Linked DNA regions of Struthio camelus. The protein of the gene in region 1 interacts with the protein of each later gene in a pairwise test. Links are inferred from orthologs where the notes say so. Each region holds a gene or a part of one and is shown on either strand. Other genes may lie near its edges.

Region 1 (10,214 bases):
TATCGGCCCCGGTTTCACCGGCAGAGCGTGCCGGGAGCCGGGCTCAGGTCCGCTGAGGCCGTTGCTCGCCGGCCCTTTGGGGAGCCGCGTTGTTGTGTGCGGTCCCGGGGCGCCCCGGAGCCTGCGGCCAGCGGTCGGGGTGCCAGGAGACCCCCGTGAGCCGAACCGAGCGGGTTCGCGTCTCCGAGCGTGCCTGGATTGGGCTGCGCCGGGAAGGGGCGCGTCCCTATGGGCTGAATTTTAGGGTTTGGCTGCTTCAGGCTTTGACAAACGGTCCCCTCCCTCCCTGACCTGCTGCTTGGCGGCTTCCAATCCCCTGGGAGCAGCACCAGCGGAGGCCGAACAGAGGCGAGCCGCCGGCTGGCGTAGCCCTCCGCTGCCCGGGGCGCCTCGGCCGCGGTCACTCGCCGCAGCGCCTGCGTTCGCCTCCTTGTTAAACCGCGTCCAAAGCGCCTCGATGCCGTAGTAAAGTCCCCTGCTGTCGAGGAATCGCAGCAGCTCCGACGCGCTGATCCGCTCCCGCTCCTTCCCAGCGCTGTCGCGGCGTAGAAAGCCGGCCGCTACCCTCGGGGCGCCGGCCGTCGCGGCGAGCCAGGTCCGCCGCCGAAACCGCTAAACTGGCCGTTTAGCGACGAGCGGGTTCCCCGCGGGGGCCGCGGCGGGAGGAGCCGGCCCGCGGCGCTGCGACGGACCATCTAACGGAAGGCCTCCCTGTTCCGTTGTATAGTGGGCAGCGTTGTCCCCGCAGCGCCCGCGGCTCGGGTAACGGTTGCAGTCTTCTGTCCCTTCACCCAGGTGGGCAGGCGGAGAGGTGGGAACAAGCTAGCCCTGAAGACGGGAGTGGTAGCCAAGAAGCAAAAGACCGAAGAGGAGGTAGGTAGCCCTGGGACGGGACGGGGGGGGCATGGGGGCTCCCTGCCTCCTCCCTGGGGGCGGTTTTGGGTCCGCAGCTGCTTTTCTGCCCCCTCGCTCTTTCGGTGAGCGGCTAGGCCTAGCGGGAAAACGGGGGCGAGGGGCGCTGCCGGCCCCTCGCTGCCTCCTGCGGTGCTGCCCGTCGCTGTGGGCAGAGCCGGTTTGCAGCTTGCGGCCATCGCGAGCGCCCCGGGGGAGCCCGTTTGTCCGAATTTGGGGGTTTCCTTCACTGCCAGGATCCTGCAAGCACGAATCCCCTCGGGGGAGCGGGGCGTTGCCTGCCACAACCCCTCTTCCAGACTCGCCTCTTATCACCGGTGTTGTTTGTTCTTCCTTTGTTATTTTTTCCCTCCCCTCCCTCCTCTGCAGGTTTTGACAAGTAAAGGAGACGCCTGGGCCAAGTACATGGCAGAAGTGAAAAAATACAAAGCCCATCAGTGCAGCGACGACGACAAAACCAGGCCCCTGGTGAAATAGCCTCTCTCCCGGTGCCCGCACGGACTGTTTCCCTGTTGTACATACTTATTTAAACAGCGGAGGAGGCTAGCGGCTCGCACAGACATCCACCAAGTGCTCCCAGCGGCTTGTTCGAGGTGTTTTTATATGTAAAAAAAATATATATATATCTCTCTCTCTCTTTCTCTCTGTCACACGCGCACCTGGGCACGCGGGGACATCGCCAAGTCTCTTATTCACTGACTTAACCCTTCTTTCGTTCTGCTGGGAAATAAGGACTCTGGACTGGCCGTAGCTCTTTGTAGCGGGAACGCGCCTGTGGGGGCCGCGCGCCCGCCCGCCGGCCGGAGCCACCCCCGTCGCCCCGCTCGCTTCCGCGTCGGTAACTCCGAGATTCCCGTGGCTTTGCCTCGCCGCTTGTCTTCCCGCCGCGTGCCCAGATTTCCCGCCCGGTTTGGTCTCTTCCCGTTCCGCCTCCGTTTCCGCGAGTAGAAACCGTAGCTGGCGGGACAGAAACGCTCCCGCCTGGCTGTCGCGAAGGGTAAAAACTCGTCGGCGAGGGCGCCGCTGTTGCATTGAGTCATTAAAGACCTCGGATATTTCGAAGCCGCTAACCGCTTCCTGGGTGTTCTTGGCGCGGGGGCTGCGTCCCGGTGGAGCTTTTGCCCTCCCCGCTGCCTTTGTTGCCCGGCCTCACCGCTGTACTCCGAGGGATTTCTTTTTTCCCTCCCATGTAGGTTCCTCCGTGGGGTAACAGCGACATTACAGCGAGCTCCGGCTGTTTATTTTTTCCCCTTCCCCCAGGGGCTCAGGCTCTCCCGAAGTCACTCGGTGCTTTCGGATAACCGGAGGCTTCGGCAATATCCACTCGCGAAGGCGGCGGGGGGGGCTGCCCGCCCTCGGCATCGCTCACCGGGCAGGAGGGAACAAGAAGAGCTTTAAATCCGCCCTGTGCCGAGGTTTCTACCTCCGTCCGGGTGCCCTTGTCCTGTTTTTTTCTCCCCCAGGCGGCTCCGGGAGGGTGCGGATGAGAGCTGTTGCCGCTGCCTGCGCCTCCGCGTCCCTTCCGGTCGGCAGGGAGAGCTGCCGGAGGAGGTGGAACAGGTCGCCCGGAGCCCGGACTGACCCTGCTTCCCCGATCCTGCAGCCCCTTTTATTCTGAAAATCCTTCACAAATGTTTAAACGTTCTGGCTCTTTTCCTTTTTGAATAAAAATTCTCTTGCGAACAGAGGTGTCTTGCTGTGTCTGTTCACCCTCCCCAGCTGCTCTTGCACCTTCCTCCCGGGGAAGGATTTCACGCCAGGCCGCGGCTCTTCCTTTTGTTGTTGTTGTTTTTTTTTTTAATTTTCCTTTGGAGCCGCAGGGGGAGCAGGATGCGCTGTACCCCCCCCCCAGCCCTGCTTCCCCCCACCCTGCCGCACCCGGACACGCGGAGCTAGGCCATACGGTTTATTCGTTCCATCCAAACGGGCCGCGCGCCCCCCTCCCGCTGCCCGCCCAGCGCCGGGGCGGGACGGCATCGCGGCGGGCCGAGCACTTCCGCGCCTCGAAGCCGGCGAGGCGCCGGCGGCCCCCGCCCCGGGCCAGCGAGCCGGGCAGGAGGGAGAGACCCGAAACGGGGAGGGAGGGGGATGCGGAGGCGGTAGGAGCCCCCCTGGGCCGGCCACCAGCTCTCAGGAACGTCCTGGAGAGTCCGATGAGGCGCTCGGGGCCGGAAAATGGAGCCCGGTCCCGCTTCCGACCCTGTCGGTGGGTGTGTTGAAACCCGCCGCTGAACCGGGCTCGGCTCCGTTCCTATAAAACACCCGGGGAAGGGAATGTCTCGGGCGGGAACGTTAAAACGAAGCCGTAGCTGACGGAGGGGGAGAAGTGGGGCAGCGAGGGCCGCGCGGCCTCCTTTTCCCCAAGCCGAGAGGATCCGGCATCCCCAGGAGCCCGGATAAATCGTTCTCGGTGGGATTGCTCCGAATTACAGGGAATGCCGGGCTCCTCCGCTTTCAATCGCAGCTCTGGCATCAGGCACAGCGGCCACCAGCTCCAGGCACCCATCAAAGCAGCTGCTAAAGGACTATTTAAAGCAAAAAAAAAAAGAGGAGCAACAACTCCTTAAAAACAGGGCAGGGGCTTCTGCTCCTCTCCAAGAAACCAGCCCTCCGGGATCCGGCCTCTCTGCGGGCCGCCTCCGGCTCCGAGGGCTGCTCCGCTCCTCCGGCGGGAGCGAGGGCTGCTCCCAAAGGCCGAGACGGGGCCGGGTGACGCAGGGCATCTTCGGAGCCGCGCCGACTCTTCCCGAAAGGCCCGGAGGAGGCAGCCTTTCACCGGGAAACTCGGAGTCTTTGGTGCATCCTCTTAGCGTGCAAAAAAAGGGGGAGAACCGGAGCCCGAGGAGCCCCCTCCGCGGCCCCGGCCTCGCCGCGGCAGCTCAGTTAGTCTCGTAGGAGGAGAGCAGGGCGGCGTCGACGGGCTCCATGCAGGAGGGGCAGGTGAAGGAGCGCATGAGCCAGTCGTCGATGCAGGCCACGTGGTAGACGTGCAGGCAGGGCAGGAACCGCACCGGGTCTCCGTAGGTGAACTCCAGCATGCAGATCACGCACCTGCGGGGTGGCGGAAAAGGCAGGGAAGTGAAACCTGGCTTTTGGGCGCTGCCGGCAGCTCCCCGAGGCGGCGATCAAGCCTTTCGGGGGGCTGCAGGCTGAGAAATCGGCACTCCGCCGTCCCTCCTGCCCTTAAAATCCCCGGGGAAACGGAAACGGGGATGAGGTGGGCATGGCAAAGGCAGGAACAGCCTCCGGGAGGGGATGGGGGTTCCCCGAGCTCGAACCCCGCCGCCCCAGCCGGCGTTTTGGGGGGACTCACTCCTTCGTTTTCTTCTCGGAGGGCTCGGCGCCGGGGTCGAAGAGGCCGCGGGGCAGGTGCTGGATGAGGCCGATGCGCTGGGCGATGCGGACCTGCTCGTCCTCCGTGAGCTGGGTGGCCAAGCGGCGCTGGCTGGGCGTGGGGTGGTACACGGGCACCGGCTCGCGCTCCTGCGGGGCGACGGCAACCGCCGGCCTTGGGGAGCGCCGACGGACCCCCAAACCTGCCTCCCCCCTGCTCCTGGGGGGGGGGCTTGGGGGGACCCTCAACCCTCGGCAGGGCACCCAATTCCCTCCTACAGTGCCCGCTCCCAGTGCTCCCAGGGCGCCCTGAGCCCCCCAGTTCCCCCTCCCCGTGCTCCTAGTTCCTCCCTGCTCCTCCCTTTTCCCCCTCCAGTGCTCCCAGTCCCCCCCAGGGCACCCTGATCCCCCCAGTTCCTCCTTCCGGGGCTCCCAATTTCTCCCCATTCCCCCAGTTTCACCATCCCAGTGCTCCCAGTCACCCCCAGTGCACCCTGATTTCCCTCCCTAGTGCTCCCAGATCCTCGAGGCAACTCTGACGTCCCCCAGTTTCCCCTTCCCAGTGCTCCCAGTTACCCCCAGTGCTCCCTGATCCCCCAAGTTCCCCCTCCCAGTGCTCCCAGTTACCCCCAGTGCACCCTGATTTCCCTCCCTAGTGTTCCCAGATCCTCGAGGCAACTCCGACGTCCCCCAGTTTCCCCTTCCCAGTGCTCCCAGTTACCCCCAGTGCTCCCTGATCCCCCAAGTTCCCCCTCCCAGTGCTCCCAGTTACCCCCAGTGCACCCTGATTTCCCTCCCTAGTGCTCCCAGACCCCCGAGGCAACTCCGACGCCCCCCAGTTTCCCCTTCTCAGTGCTCCCAGTTACCCCCAGTTCACCCCGATCCCCCCTCAGTGCTCCAGGCCCCGCAGTGCGCCCCGCTCCCCTCCCCAGTTCCCTCTCCCAGTGCTCCCAGTTACCCCCAGTGCGCCCCTGCTCCCCCTTCCCAGTGCTGCCAGGCCCCCAGCGCACCCCCCACTCCCCCCCGCCCCCAGTTCCACCTCCCAGCGCTCCCAGTTCGTCCCGCTCCCCCCGTGTCCCCCTCCCAGTACTCCCAGTGCCCCCTCCCAGTGCTCCCAGTCCCTCCGGACCTGGTAGGGCGGCGGGGCCGGGGGAGGCGGCGGGTCCCCGGGCCCCAGGCTGGCTCCGTCCACGGAGTCGTTGAGCAGCGAGAGGTCGTCGGCCGCCTGCGAGGACAGGCAGTTCCCCATCCCCGGGACCGGGATCGGGACCGAGACCGGGGCCGGGCCGGGACCGGGCCGGGCCGGGCCGGGCTCTGCCACCCCCTCCCGGCGGTGGTACCGCCCGCAGCGCGAGGCACGCCGGGAAATGCAGTCCGGCGCGGAGGGACTCCGCGCATGCGCAGAGCTGCGTCGCTGCCATTATTCCCCCCCTTTCTCCCGGCGATGGTACCGCCCGCGCCGCGGGGCGCGTCGGGAAATGGAGTCCGGCGCGCAGGGACTCCGCGCATGCGCGGGGAGGGCGCGGGAACGGGCGGGGAGGCGGGAAGAGGCCTTGAGGCCGCGGGACGCCGGTTCCCGGAGCTCCACCCCCGCCCTCCCGCCGAGCGGGGAGGGGGCGTGGCCTCTCCTAACCCCGCCCAGTCACCACCGCGCGCGCCGCGCCCCCCCCCCCCCACTTACCCCGGCCCACGTGACGCGGCGCCGTCCTTTCCGCGCGCGCTCACGTGGTGCCCGCGGAGGGCGGCGGACGGTGGCCGGCGGGGGTCAGCGCCCGCGTGCCGCGCTCGCCTCCCTCCCTCCCTTTCCCCCCCCCCCCAACCTCTCCCCCGCGGGCAGCGCCCGGTGCCGCCGCGGGAGCGCGAGGCCGCCCCGAGCCCCCTCCCGCCTCCTCCTCCCCCCCTCCCCGGTCCGCCCCCCCCCCTCCTCCTCCTCCTCCTCCTTCAGGCAGGTACCGGCCCGGCGCGGCCCCGGGCAGCGTGGCGGGGCCTGGCGAGCGCGGGCGGCCCGGCGGGAGCGGAGCGGGGGGGGGATTGGGTGGATTTGGGGGGGGGGGGGACAAAGTGGGGGCCGGAGGGGTAAAGTGGTGTTAGAGAGGGCAAATTGGGGGCTGGGGGGGGAGGAATTGGGGGCTGAGGAGGCAAAATGGGGTCTGGATTGGGATAAAGTGGGGGCAGGAGGAGCGAATTGGGGTCTGGGGGGGCAAAATGGGGTCTGGGGGTGTGAACTGGGGTCTGGGGGGAGAATTGGGATCTGGGAGGGCAAAATGGGCTCTGGGAGGGAGAATTAGGGGTCTGGGGGAAGAATTGGGGCCTGGGAGGGCAAAATGGGGTCTGGATGGGGATAAAGTGGGGGGCAGGAGGAGCGAATTGGGGTCTGGGGGGAAATTGGGGTCTGGATGGAGATAAAGCGGGCAGGAGGAGTGAACTGGGGTCTGGGGGGAAAATTGGGATCTGGGAGGGCAAAATAGGGTCTGGGGGGGAGAATTAGGAGTCTGGGGGGGAGAATTGGGGTCTGGGGAGGGCAAAATGGGGTCTGGGAGGGGAGAATTGGGGTCTAGGGGGAAGAATTGGGGTTTGGGAGGGCAAAATGGGGTCTGGGGGGAGAATTGGAGTCTGAGGGGGAAATTGGGGTCTGGGGAGGAGAATTGGGATCTGGAGCAGCAAAATAGGAGCAGGAGGTACAAACTGGGGGTTGGGGGGTTGTGCCGGGGGGGTGGGTTGTGCAATAGGAGGGGCTGTAGTGGGGGTGGATTGAGGAGGAGGAGTGCTGCCGGTGGCAAATTTTGGGGGGGGGGGCTGCCGTTGGGTGAGGGGGTTGCAGTGGCGAGAGGGTTGAACGCGTGTGTGATGGGGGGGTTATGGCGGGGGGGGCAGTTTCCGGGTGAGGGAGCACCCGGAGATGCCGGGATGGCGGCGGGACGGGACACGCGGGTGAGCGAGGCGCCGCTGCCGGCGGCCGTGAGGGAATTACAGCCCCGGGGGGGGGGCAGTTACAGGGGGGGTGATCTGCCCCCCTCCCTGCCCGGTGCAGGCTGCAGCCGCCCCCACGTGTCCGTGCCCCCCCCCCCCCCCCGGCAGGGATTTCCTCTCCCCTCCGAGCCACCCCGCGGCCCCGCTCCATGTGCTGCAGCGTGGGGCCCCCTCCCGACCCCCCTTCCTGGGGGTCACGCTCGCAGCGGGGACGTCCCCTCCGGTCCCAGCCCCGCTGCTGCCACCCCCCCCCCCACCCCCAGGACGTGCTCCCGACTCCCTCGGGGTGGGTTTGGGGAGGGAGGTGTGCTTCGCCTCTCCGCTCCGGTTGACTGCTTCCCAGCCCCCCAAATTTGCAGCGATTCGGGACCCCGAAACAAGGTGGCAGCGGCCGGCGGGATCCGGCTGCGGCTTCGAGCCGCGCTCGGCTGCCCCGCGAGGGTTTTGTGCCGTTCGCGTCCCCCCGCCTGCAGCCCAGCGACGCTGATCTCTCCGTGTCCCCCCCCTTTCCAGGAAAGACCCCCACCATGGACTGGCAGCCGGACGAGCAGGGCCTCCAGCAGGTCCTGCAGCTGCTGAAGGACTCGCAGTCGCCCAACACGGCCACGCAGCGCATCGTGCAGGACGTATCCTTGCGGTGGGGGCGGCCGGGGCTCTCCCGCCTCCCCAGTCCCTGCCGGGGAGGGCCGGGGGCTCCGTCGCTCACCCATTGGGGCTGGCACGGGGGGAAACGCGAGCCGGGTCCGTCTCTAGAACCAGCTTGACGCGTTGGCTGGAGCTGGGTGAAGGGGAGGCTCCAGGGGGATTAAAAACCTTCTGAGCTCATGGGGTCGGCAGCTAGATGGAGGCAGGATCGGTCTGGAGGAGGTCGAGCTGGGAAACGGGGCTTTTTCGGCTCTTCAGCCAGGGCCGAGCCTGCGTTTGGCTGCTCCGGGACAGCATCCCCTTCCCAATCCCCTTCCTTAACAGCCCCGGGGGCAGAAACTGAAGCAACTGAACCAATTCCCCGACTTCAACAACTACCTGATCTTCGTGCTGACGCGGCTGAAGTCGGAAGGTGGGTCTGCGGCCGGGGTGGGGGGGTTTCCTGGCTGCCCCGAGGTGTTGGCCGGGAGCTGAGCCCGCGCGTGCCGGGACCGGCACCTCCCCGGGATAACGCGTGCCTCCTAGATGAGCCCACGCGGTCGCTGAGCGGCCTCATCCTGAAGAACAACGTCAAGGCGCACTACCAAAGCTTCCCCCAGCCCGTGGCCGAGTTCATCAAGCAGGAGTGTCTCAACAACATCGGCGACGCGTCCTCCCTCATCCGGGCCACCATCGGTGAGAGGGGGCAGGGGATGCCCTCGGGGCGGCTGCCGAGTGGGGAAACGGCTTGGGATGGAGCCCCCGCCCTTACCCCGGTCCCGGCTCACGCGGCCCCTCCGGCCCCGCAGGCATCCTCATCACCACCATCGCCTCCAAGGGGGAGCTGCAGATGTGGCCGGAGCTGCTGCCCCAGCTCTGCAACCTGCTCAACTCGGAGGATTACAACACGTGCGAGGTGAGCGGGGGGCCGCGGCGGCGCGGGGCGGGGTGGGGGGGCCCGCGACCCGCCGCTGACGCCCCTCTGGCGCGCAGGGGGCGTTCGGGGCCCTGCAGAAGATCTGCGAGGACTCGTCCGAGCTCCTGGACAGCGACGCGCTCAACCGGCCCCTCAACGTCATGATCCCCAAGTTCCTCCAGTTCTTCAAGCACTGCAGCCCCAAGATCAGGTGGGGAGGGGGCTGGGGGGGGCGTCGCGTGGCTCTTAACGAATTTGGGTGGGAAGGGAGCACCTCTGTGTCACGGTTTTTGTCCCCCCACTGGCATCCTAATGGCTCCTTGTTCTTGTCCTCAACCCCCCCAAGCGTGCTCCAGCTCCATCCGTGCCCCCGATAAGCAGTGGGACATGGCAATTTGAACCGCCACCAGGCTGGGCAGCTCCAGCTCAGCCTGTCCCTGTGTCCCCGGCCGTCCCGCTGGGACTCACTCATGTGTCCCCAGGTCTCCCGCAGTCCTTCCCGCTCCGTACCGGGGCTGGGGGTTATTCCAGCCCAGGCACAAATTTCTGTTTGCCTTTTGTGAGTTAATTCAGGGGCCGATGGGGTCCAAGAGGCGCAAACAGGCTGGGCTGCTCCCCTTTCTCGCCCGGCATCGTTAGCTAACGAGCCTGTCAGAGCCCCCCACAGTCTGTCTTCTCCCCGACCCGCGGCTCAGGTCCCACGCGATCGCCTGCGTCAACCAGTTCATCATGGACCGGGCTCAGGCGCTGATGGAGAACATCGACACCTTCATCGAGGTGAGCGGCCGGGGAGAAACGCTTCCCCGCCCCGGTTCAGGATGGTCCTGCTGGCCGAGCTGCCCGAGGGAGGACCGTGGGCCGCCCCGGGTGACTCGGGGCTCTCGGTGTCCCCCGCCTCGCAGCACCTCTTTGCGCTGGCGGTGGACGAGGACCCCGAGGTGCGGAAGAACGTGTGCCGAGCCCTGGTGATGCTGCTGGAGGTCCGCATCGACCGCCTCATCCCCCACATGCACAGCATCATCCAGGTAAGGGCCTGGCTCGTGCCCGCTCCGGCGGAGCCGCTTCCCGGTCGTTCCCCCCTCCCCTCGTTGCTGGGGGTCCGGTTTTGGAGGGGGAAGGGGCTGACGTCTCTCCCCGGCGCCCTCCCGGCAGTACATGCTGCAGCGGACGCAGGACAGCGACGAGAACGTGGCGCTGGAGGCCTGCGAGTTCTGGCTGACTCTGGCCGAGCAGCCCATCTGCAAGGAGGTGCTGACGTCCCACCTGATGCAGTGAGTACCCCCGGGCGGCCCCATCTTGTCCCCCCCCGGCCCTCGACACCCCCGGCCCGGTCCCTCAGCGTCCCCTTTTCCCCCCTCGCAGGCTCATCCCCATCCTGGTGAACGGCATGAAATACTCCGAGATCGACATCATCTTGCTCAAGGTACGAGGGCGCTGAGCTCTCCGCTCCCTGCTCCAG
Region 2 (9,700 bases), on another chromosome or scaffold:
TTTTAACTCCTTGATCTCCTAAAGCACATCCTTCACATTCCACAGGTCAGAGGCACATCATTCCCTTCAACACAACAACATATTAAAGCAACATTGTTCAAATCACTGAAAGATAATGCACTTGCACCATCTGCAGGTTTGACAAAACAGAGATGTCACAGGATATATCTACCAGCAACACTAACACTTTTTGCCCCCAGCTGGGCTGTAATGTTGCAATTACCAATTACAAGGGAAAAGAGCTGTTATTTTTGTTTAGCAGAGCTTATTTTGAATTAATCTGCTTTTGCTTTAGGATCCAGCTTAAGAAATCTTCAAATGCCATATTATAAAAGGAAAATCCTTTAAATGAAAAAAACATAGTCAAACAATGTAATATCAAAACCCTAGACTGATTTTATATGCTGAAGATACTGTTTATAGGCAAATCCACACCTCTGGCTGGTCTGTAGGCATGTATTTAGGCAAAAGGTGCAGGAAGAACAATAATTAAGCATCAGAACACAACTAAAGAGAAGCTGTTTTACTCAGTATTCCTCCTTTGTCTTCCTGAAAGGGCCCGCACACCTGTGATGCCCAAGCTGAACTGCAGCAAGAAAGTCTTCTAGTGAGACACTGAGGTATCAGATGTCACAGTATCGCCACCCTCCTTTCATATAACTGAAAGTGCATTCACCATAAGAAAACATTGGCATTCTCCATCAAATGATGAGGTCAAAAGCCTTAGTCACATAACAGGACAGCATCAGAAAATCCCCAAGGAAGAGGGCAGCAAGAAGTAGACTATTTATTTTTATGGGCCAGATCCAATCTGCAGGCTAGCCCTGAACAAAAGCTATCTGGTCACCAATTGCTGATAGCCTACTGTATCTCAGATAAATAAAGAAGCATTCAAAAATAAATAATGAAACTAAGCTGATTTGCTAATCCTCCATTTTCAGCAGAGGCTCTGGGCCAAATCACATTCCCAACAAAACTTTTTTGTAAGTAGTGGCTGTGCTAGAAGAAAAATCACATCCTTTGGTTCCACATGAGTGTGTCTCTTTTAATCCATTTATAAATGAACAAAACCTTCATGACCTAATCCACAAAGACTTTTTATTTGCAGTTTTTATTTGTTAATGGATTCAAATTTTCAAAAGACATTGGGCACCTATATGCTTTATGCCTTTGATTCACTAATTGTTTACTAAGAACATCATCAGTCAGCAAAGCAAGCAACCTCTCAAGTGGTAGAGCTGGAATAAAATTTCCCTTCCTCTAACACAACATTGGCCATCTAGGCACACCAGCTAAAAGGCAAGGATCTGAAAAACATCAGGTAGGTCAAAATTGAAGTTAACCACAGGTTATGCTGTTAATAGCATTTCATTTAGAAATTTTTTCACCTTTCCTGCCCTGTTCCTGTAGCGTATCTGTCTGTACTTCAGTTCTTATCTCATACAGTTACCTTCCTTCCAATTATTCCCTCTGTCACATAACTAACTGGCAAAGTAAGAGTTCAGTTAGGATATACTCAAAACAGATAACTGAAGTCAAGAAGTGTTCTGATTACACAAAACAACCTTCTCCTCCCACCCCTCCCAAAGAGGGGAGCAGAAAGAGAAGCAAAAAAAAAAAAAAAAACACAGAAAAAAGTAGCACAGCAAAACCAGCTCTGTATGAACCAAAAATGTAAATGGTGGCATTTTCAGAAACAAAACAAAACCAAAAAAAAGAAGAAATAAAATCAATGCTAAAGCAGAACCAGGATAAAGTTTTAATTCTCAAACAAGAAACCAAGAGTGAGCAGTGTCCTAAAGAGCAGTATTTTACCAGAGAAGTTAGGAGTTTTCTACTTCAGTCCCGCATTTTAGAAGCTACAATACACATTTAAGAAACATGACGTCATTCAAATGTATTCCACCTTGAAAAGCAGTGAGGATATTAAGAAGTTCAAAGAAACTCATCCATGAGGAAAGACTGAACAAGCTAAAGCTAGTGCTGAAAAGAAGGGTATACTGAGATCAAAAAGACAATGATTAACAAGTCTCTAAACTACTTTTCAATTTTATCATAAGATGCCTGGAGTTTTATTACATACGGTTAACAAGAACTCACTTCTTTATAAGTGCATTTAAAAAAAAAAAAAGAAAGAGTTCAAGTATTTTATGCTCACTGTAACACCAGTACCTCAAGAAATGCACCAGAATGTTGTTTAATGTTTTACAAGTTGTAACAGCAAATGGAGTTGGGGAAGAAAGGCTCAAATCTCACCTGGCATCCAAAATTCTTCCCATAACTCTTTGAGAGAGAGGAAAATATGCAAGGAGATGATCTGCCTAGCAATTTTCTAAAAACAAACTCCTGGGAATAAAAAATGGTACCTTGAAAGGATGTTGCCCTGACCCCATAGGTTGACTTCTATGTAGTTTTCTAAGCATGCAATGAATAAATTTAAATTCCTTTTCTCCATTTAAAACAAACAGGCAAAAAATACATGAAATAAAGCCTCTGAATCCTTCTCCAACTACTTGAAGCATCACTGGTAGAAGAAAAAGATGATGGAGAATCTCCAAGCACTGGAAAAAAAAAAAAAACCCTTAATTTAGGCTGCCTCCTTCTACTTACGTGCTTAACTATACTTACAATTAAGAAAGTAATCAACTGTTCTCAGTCATAAACATCCTTTTTTTTTTTCTTGGCCTTATCCTCAACAGAATATTTTTTACATTTGAAGATTTATTCTCCCATCAATCTTTTTTACCCTCTGGACTCCAACTACTTCAGTTTTTCCTCACTGATGACATTTTCTTGACCCCTCATAATTCTCGCTCCTCTGTCTGAATTCTGTCCAAGCAGCCCATATCTTTCTTGGATACTTCCCAAACAGGCAGCTGAGGAAAAATTTTGTTTGAGGCATTCCGAGTACAAAGTAGAGTGGAAAGAAGACTACCACATGTCCCCTACATGACACTCCTAGCTTTTCCAACCCAATATAATTTTTGCAGCATGATGATGATACAGGCTTGTGCTTAATTTACAATCTACTGTAAAACCCAGATCTCCCTTGCAACATTATGACTGTCATGTCCTATCCTGTAACAGGCATTTCTTTCTATGCTTTGCACACTACTTTTCTCAGGCTGTTCTACCTAATTTGCTATGATCAATTTAAAGTCTAATCCTGTCCTCAAAATACATTTGCAATCTCTCCCATCTCAGATGCATCTCAAATGGAAGGGAAGTATTCATTCCATTATTTAGGCTTCTAACAAAAATGGCAATTAAAACCCAATTCCAGACATGAGGTCCCTGATGGACCTCATGCAATACATCTTTCCAGTTTTACAGTGAACTATAATTATTCCTTGCCTTCCCAACCACTTTGAGCAACCCTACAGAGACTCCTTGAGGCCATGTTTCTATAGCCTGTTTATGAGAAGTATGTAGGAGACAATGCCAAAGCCCTATGAAAAATCAATCTTTCCCAAACAGACAACGCGGTGCCCCAGTACAAAAGGCTGTCAGACTGGTCTGATAAAAAAAGGTTTTGATAGGCCTTCTCAGTGCTTACAAGTCTGGTTCGTTGGTTAACTGCAATCTCTGAAAAGATTCTTCTCTTCACTGGAGAAGACTTGCATATAATTCCTTCTTTCTTTTATTATAAGATAGTGGAAAAGAACAGAGCAGCTTCAGCTTTGTCGTTCAAAATTGCTCAACTACCATCTGACACAATACTCACCTGCCTAAATGACATCTGACTTAACCGAATAACCTTCTCCCTTCACCTAGTCTAGCACCGACCAATAGTTTTGGGCATTGGTGTAACCTTTTTGTAACGGTTTAATTGAAAAAGGAAAGACTTTGATCTTGTGTACGTTTCCTTGTATAACAAACTAACTCTTCTCTCTTGTACTAATTTATTTATAAAATATTTCTTTACTGCATCTACCAGACAAGAATTACATCATTCTGTGCTGTCACCTTTTCGATTTTATTCCTCCTAGTAATTTGACCAGGGTTTCTGCTTTTTGTTTGCTTGCTTGCTTCCTTTCAAAATTACTGATGAGTTATAACTTCTTCCAAATTGACCATTTCTTATGTTTTCTTTTCTTCTTCTATTACATGAAGTCCTCCTTTTCCACATGATTTTTCACATCAGTTAGAGTAAAAAAAGTAGTATCTTTTTCTAAAAATTACTCAATTTTTTTTAAAGCCTAGATGCTATAGTCTTTAATCCTGTTGTCCTAGATGTCATATGGAAATATTTGTCCGGGCTCCTAAGATAATTGGAAAATAAATTATTTAAAATAATACCTAAGCTTGCATTCTGTAGAAACAGACAATAAACCTAACTTTGCCAATAAGAAGGGAATTATTCCCAGCAGATTACAAAGGTGGTACCCTTTAGATTGGGCCACCAAACTAACAGAGAACCTGAGTGTGGCAGCCTTCACCTGGTCTTAGTGTCAAGAAGCCTGCTTTGACAATGAAGCAAAATAGCATTTCAGTGTTAAATGCTAATTTGACCCCTTAACATGCACGGTATGTTTTTGGGGGACTTCTATACTCAACTTCACCCTCTGGGAGAGGAAGGACAAAGAAGGAAGAGTATGAAGCTGGGGACAGAGAGCAAAACACTAAAAACAGAATTTGGGAGCTATACAGCAGGAAAAAACCGTAATAGTTGAAAAACTAGCAATTTTTTTCATCAAAAACCAGAGCAACGCTTACCAGATAATCAGCAAAACGCCCTTGTGCTTGTACCTCCAGAGGCTAGGCCAAGCAGCACCCTGCCAAGCTATCCCATTTCCACAGCCTCTTCCCTCTTTTCCAACAGGACTTCGCTGCTAGTTTTCTCTGCTCACTACACCACCAGGCCCACTCGGCCCTGCCGCCCTACACCTCTTTGCCGAAGGCGGCCCTCTCCTCCAGCAGCCCCGGCCCCCCAGCACCACCGACCCTCCCCCCTCAGGCCTGCAGCAGGCCAACGGCGCAGGGCCCAGCCCAGACACTCACCCCGCAGCTCGTAGGTCCCGTGCAGGAACCTCCAGCCTCCTCGAGCGGGGCGAGAGGCGCCAGCGCCCAGAGCCGGCCGCCTGCCCAGCAGCAGCCGCATCACCCCCCTTCCCCCACCGCCCAGCCACAAGGAGGCCGCCATCTTGCTTCCCTTCGCGGCCCGGCCCGGCCCGGCCCCCCTGCGCCGCCGGGGCTGCCCCACTCGCTGCCTGAGCGGAAAGCGCGGCCGGTCGGGCCCGCCTCGGCCGGACGCGCTCGCAAGCGCGCCCCGCTCCGGCCCGCCTGGCGGCCGGCACAGCGGCGAGCCGGGCTGCCCCCCACCAGCGCCGGCCGCGAGCGCTCCGCCACCCGCCGCCTGGCTCCTGACCGCTCTTAGCGCCCCAGCTGCGCGCAGCCGCCCGCCCCCCCGCAGGCCTCTCCCCCGCCGCCCGCCTGGAGGCGAGGCGCCGAGACCCTCTCCGTCCCGGTCAGCCCCGCCGGGCTGAACGCCGCGCGTTACGGCCTGCGCCGGCCGGTGCCCCGCAGCCAGGGGCAGCGGCAGGGACGCGCTCGGCAGGCGCCCGCGCGGCCTCCCGGCCCCGCAGCGCAAGCCCCGAGAGAGGACCCCAGGCGGGCGCTATGGCCGCCGCCAACGGCCGCGACAGCGCGCAGGTAACGAGAGGGCGGGCGCGGCCGTTGGTGGGGGGGGGCGGGTGCCCTGCCGGCCCCGCCGCGCCGAGCCGTGCTGCCGCCGCATCCCCCTCGGGTCAGCGGGCGCTCCAGAGCAGCGGTTGGTGGTCGCCGTGGCTGAGAGTGTTTTTGCAGCCTTTGCCGTTAGCCATGAGAATTATCAAAGCACGGCTTGCTAGGAAAGAGCGAAAGGATCGGTTCAGTCAGGAAAAGAAAACAGAAACTGAGGAGTAAGTGGAGTTATTTTCCCAGTAGGTGAAATACTGTCACAGAGAGGAAAGGGAAGAAGCTCTTCTTTATGTCCATAGTTATTTGGAGAAGAGATAACGAGCTGAAGTGTCAGCAAGCAAGGTTTAGGTTAGGCAATAGGAAAATATTCTAATTTAGGACAGTGAGACGGATTGTCTGAGGAGTTCGTCACTGCCTGTCACGGTGACGTTGTCCTATTTTGAATAGGCTACAATGGGAGTTTCCAAACCTTCTCAGACCTGCGCCAGACTGTTCTCTCTGTGACTCCACCTTCCCTGTCCCCTTCCTCAGCACCGCCGCACCGTTTCGCACCCTTGGCTGCTGCTCCCAGCCGGCCGGCGCAGCCTCCTCGCTTTGGGGTGTGCGAGTCCGGCACCGACGGGAAGCGTTTCTGCGCAGCCAGCAGCCCTCCGTAGCAGGTGCGGCAGGATGCGAGCTGTCCGCCCCTTCAGGGAGGCTGGCCTAAATGCTCGCCTCTCTCTGCTGGGCTTCCAAAGACCAGGAAGAACGATCCTTCAGGGGCCACAAAATCCCAGCGCCCCTTTAAAGTCTTAAGCTCTTACTTTAGACGCTCGAGAACTGCTCGGTAATCTTCAGCTTTAGAGTCAGTGAAGTTCCCGGGGAGGGGGAGGTAGAGAAGAATGACAACAGCATTTTTTTCCTTTATGTTTCAGAAAGACTATCGATAGTCAGTAATAACCTTCTTACCAGTTTTGTTATTTGCTAGCTATTTGTTGCTTTTGTTTTTCATACTCTGTGAGTGCCCCCTTAACGTGGGATCCTGCTGCTCAACATATTTCTCTAGGAAATACCGTTTCGTGGATACAAATGACTAAGCTGAGCAGCACAGCTGCTAATCACTTGTTATATTTAAAAAGTATTAAAGGTTTTAATTGCTGTAACAAATAAAACTTTAAAGGAAAAAAGGCACACAACAAGTGATAATTTTCAATTGGAGGTCTATACTTGCTGTGAAAGTTTATAGTCTGAGGCTTTTACATGGTGTAGGAATCCTGACCACACTGTTTTCCTGTCCCTCCCTTACAATTATTTCTTTTTTTCTTACCTTTAAAAGTCCTTTCTGAATTGTAAAATCTTTATATGGTGTTGAAGGCATTGCAGAAAACAGACGTTCTTAAAGGATCATTATTTTTACTGCTTTTGTTACTTCATCCCTTTCTGTGCCATGTACAGATTTTAAATAGTAATCTACCAGCTTATTAATGGTACCTTTCTCACTTCAAATATATAGTGCAGAACCATTCATTTTTACCACATCAAACTTTTCAGTGTGTAGCTATTCAAAAGAAACCTCACAGGTTAGTGTGAAATAAGAACTGTATGATTTCATCTATGTAGTCTATGCTTATTTCTCAGAAAATGTATTTCTAAGCACTTTGTGAAGGGGAGGTACGTATTTAAAGGCACTGTTTATTTACCATAATATCTTAAACAGTACAACTATATTGTAGTTCAGTTTCATATCTTGTTGAAAACTATCTCTAAAAGTCTTGCAAATGGGCTCATTCTGCAAATAGCCTGGGTCCACCTTGATTTCCATTACATCAGTTTCACACTGTATTGTTACTGTTATTTTAGGTTTTGTAGTATTAGGTGTATGCACTTGAATAAAAAAGGGGAAAAACAGTTTTCTTTGAATAATGACAGTCTTTCTGTAAAAAAGCAATAATAATTTTATCAAAAGATTTGACTTTGACACCAAAAATATGAATTTTAAGTGAATGCTTTCAGTCAGTTACTCTTTTGAAATTTATCAGCAAACTTGTTTTTCAGAAGAATAATTTGATAGCTGGAAAAAGCAGTCTTTTTTTTTTTTTTTTTAAGCTCATGGAAATTTGTGAAGTTTTCCTTAATACCTAATGTGGAAAAATTAGATGAAAATCGTAAAAGCCAGCTAAATTGTTCATATTGGCTGTATCAGAGAACTAGTGGGCCAGATCCTGAGTTAGAGGTATAAAGAGAGAGAAAACCAATGGCATCTGCATTTTAACTTGCACTCATTTTTTAATTGATTTTCTAATTGAGATTTGGCAAAGAATAATCCTGTTGATTTGCCAGCTGCTTTTATATGTATTCGCTCCTAAGCCTATTCCAGGAAATAGCCTCTTTAGTTATTTTAAAACATGTTAAATAAATAGGTTGTGGTTATGAGTAGTATCTGCTGATCCTGGAAGAGTACTGTTAAATACTGAGGGTTGATTTATAATCCTGGGATTCTTCATAAAAATAGTTGGAACTCCTTAATAATATGTGGGTTTTGTATGCTTTTGATGAAAGCAGCTTCTGAATTTGAACTGTAAAAAAAAACCTTTGTAATGATTTTAAAGTGATTAAAAGCAATCATCTTCTCGCATTAATTATTGTCCAGAATCACCAGTGAGGGAAAATATGAAAGAACTGGAGGAATGTCATAATATAGCTTTTTCATATCTATATACATTCAATAAACAATAGCCATGTAAAACTATTTAACATGAGTTTATTCCATCAAAAGTAGAAGGGAGATAATTTTCTTTGAAATGAAAAGTATCAGTGTAGTACATAAGTTAGAAATACACAGTGATGTTATTTTAAATAAAAGACAAAACAAGATATTGTGGGATTCATAATTTTTATAGCAGGCAAATTTATAAAATAATAATTCTGTATAAATAAATTTGAACCACAAAGTGGGGACCTATAATTTACACACACTATGCACTTTTTCATATTTGTAAACATAAGATACATGCACTAATATTCTCAGAATCACAGTACATTTCAGAGGCATTAGTATTTGAGGAACATTTAGCTAGCCAGAATATTACTCCTTCAGTGAAGGAGAACTGAAAAGGAGTGGTTTCATTTTCAGCTGTGTGAATGGGGAGGAGGCTCAGAATGTTTTCACTCTGAATTTAGAAATCTGTTTATTTCACCTGTTTTTTGTTTTGGATTTTTTCTTTTTCATGTACTATTGTGTGTAGCATTTCATTTGTTTTAAGTAATGTGAATTAGTACAGGTTTATGGTGCTTTAAAAATCTAGCTTCTTGCATAGATTTCTAGGAATGCTGCTTAGAGTCTTGTTTCTGACTTTTGGAATGAATCAACAGGTGATTATTTCGTATTATTAAAAGAGACCCTAAAGAGTAGAAACAAAATCAGAATAGTTAGAAATAACATCTGCAGTGAACGTCAGTTCTTCAGAGATAGTAGCTTCAGAAACAAGTGTCACCGAAGAATATGGTACTACACTCTAAGCTGAAGATGGGAGTATTGATCAGGCTTGATACATATATACAAAGAATTATTTGAGAGTTGTCTGCAATAGTAGGGGACTGTATTTGATGTCATAAGAGTTTTTTCCAAACTAGCTTTTCTAAGCAGAAATTCAGCAACTTTTCATGAAAGCAATATAAGAGGGGTACTATGTTCTGCGTAATTGCTGATTTCTGTCACATACCCATGCATGAAACATAAAAACAACTGTATGACCATGATATTACAGGTAGAAATATTTCCCCATGCCAGGCAAATAAATTTATATAAATAAAAATACTGTTCTGTTTTTTTACTGTTTGATTCATTATTTGATGGATGCAGTTGTATCAGGGTCTTTGTGAAAACACATCTGATTTTTATTCTTACACTGGTAAACAGTGGGGACTTTGGTTTGGTTTTTATTGTCTAAAGTAAGCTAAAAGAATTACTGAAAACAACATGCAAACGTGTAAATTCGAGAATACAACATTAATTAAACTATTATCTTGCAGTTGTCTCTGT

Evidence for each region.
Region 2: the proteins of TNPO2 (region 1) and APIP interact in binary tests that used the Homo sapiens proteins (3 or more experiments, as listed by UniProt). The two-hybrid records come from large-scale screens. The link is inferred for Struthio camelus from reciprocal best matches to the Homo sapiens genes TNPO2 and APIP.

What each region holds. Positions count from the first base shown.
Region 1 is NC_090972.1:4,318,772-4,328,985, forward strand, and holds the start of TNPO2 (transportin-2), read left to right. Parts: upstream 1-5,985; 5' UTR 5,986-6,194; intron 6,195-6,903; exon of another isoform or gene 6,904-6,923; intron 6,924-7,064; exon of another isoform or gene 7,065-7,176; intron 7,177-7,574; exon of another isoform or gene 7,575-7,596; intron 7,597-7,728; 5' UTR 7,729-7,742; coding exon 7,743-7,841; intron 7,842-8,196; coding exon 8,197-8,272; intron 8,273-8,385; coding exon 8,386-8,535; intron 8,536-8,648; coding exon 8,649-8,755; intron 8,756-8,832; coding exon 8,833-8,966; intron 8,967-9,450; coding exon 9,451-9,532; intron 9,533-9,657; coding exon 9,658-9,780; intron 9,781-9,907; coding exon 9,908-10,026; intron 10,027-10,117; coding exon 10,118-10,178; intron 10,179-10,214. Other genes in the region: TRIR (telomerase RNA component interacting RNase), read left to right, coding at 796-873, 1,282-1,389; RING finger protein 11, read right to left, coding at 3,792-3,963, 4,226-4,395, 5,375-5,494. UniProt on the Homo sapiens protein: Probably functions in nuclear protein import as nuclear transport receptor. Serves as receptor for nuclear localization signals (NLS) in cargo substrates.
Region 2 is NC_090946.1:34,125,652-34,135,351, reverse strand, and holds the start of APIP (methylthioribulose-1-phosphate dehydratase), read left to right. Parts: upstream 1-5,300; 5' UTR 5,301-5,619; coding exon 5,620-5,652; intron 5,653-6,158; exon of another isoform or gene 6,159-6,355; intron 6,356-9,700. Other genes in the region: PDHX (pyruvate dehydrogenase protein X component, mitochondrial), read right to left, coding at 5,002-5,143. UniProt on the Homo sapiens protein: Catalyzes the dehydration of methylthioribulose-1-phosphate (MTRu-1-P) into 2,3-diketo-5-methylthiopentyl-1-phosphate (DK-MTP-1-P).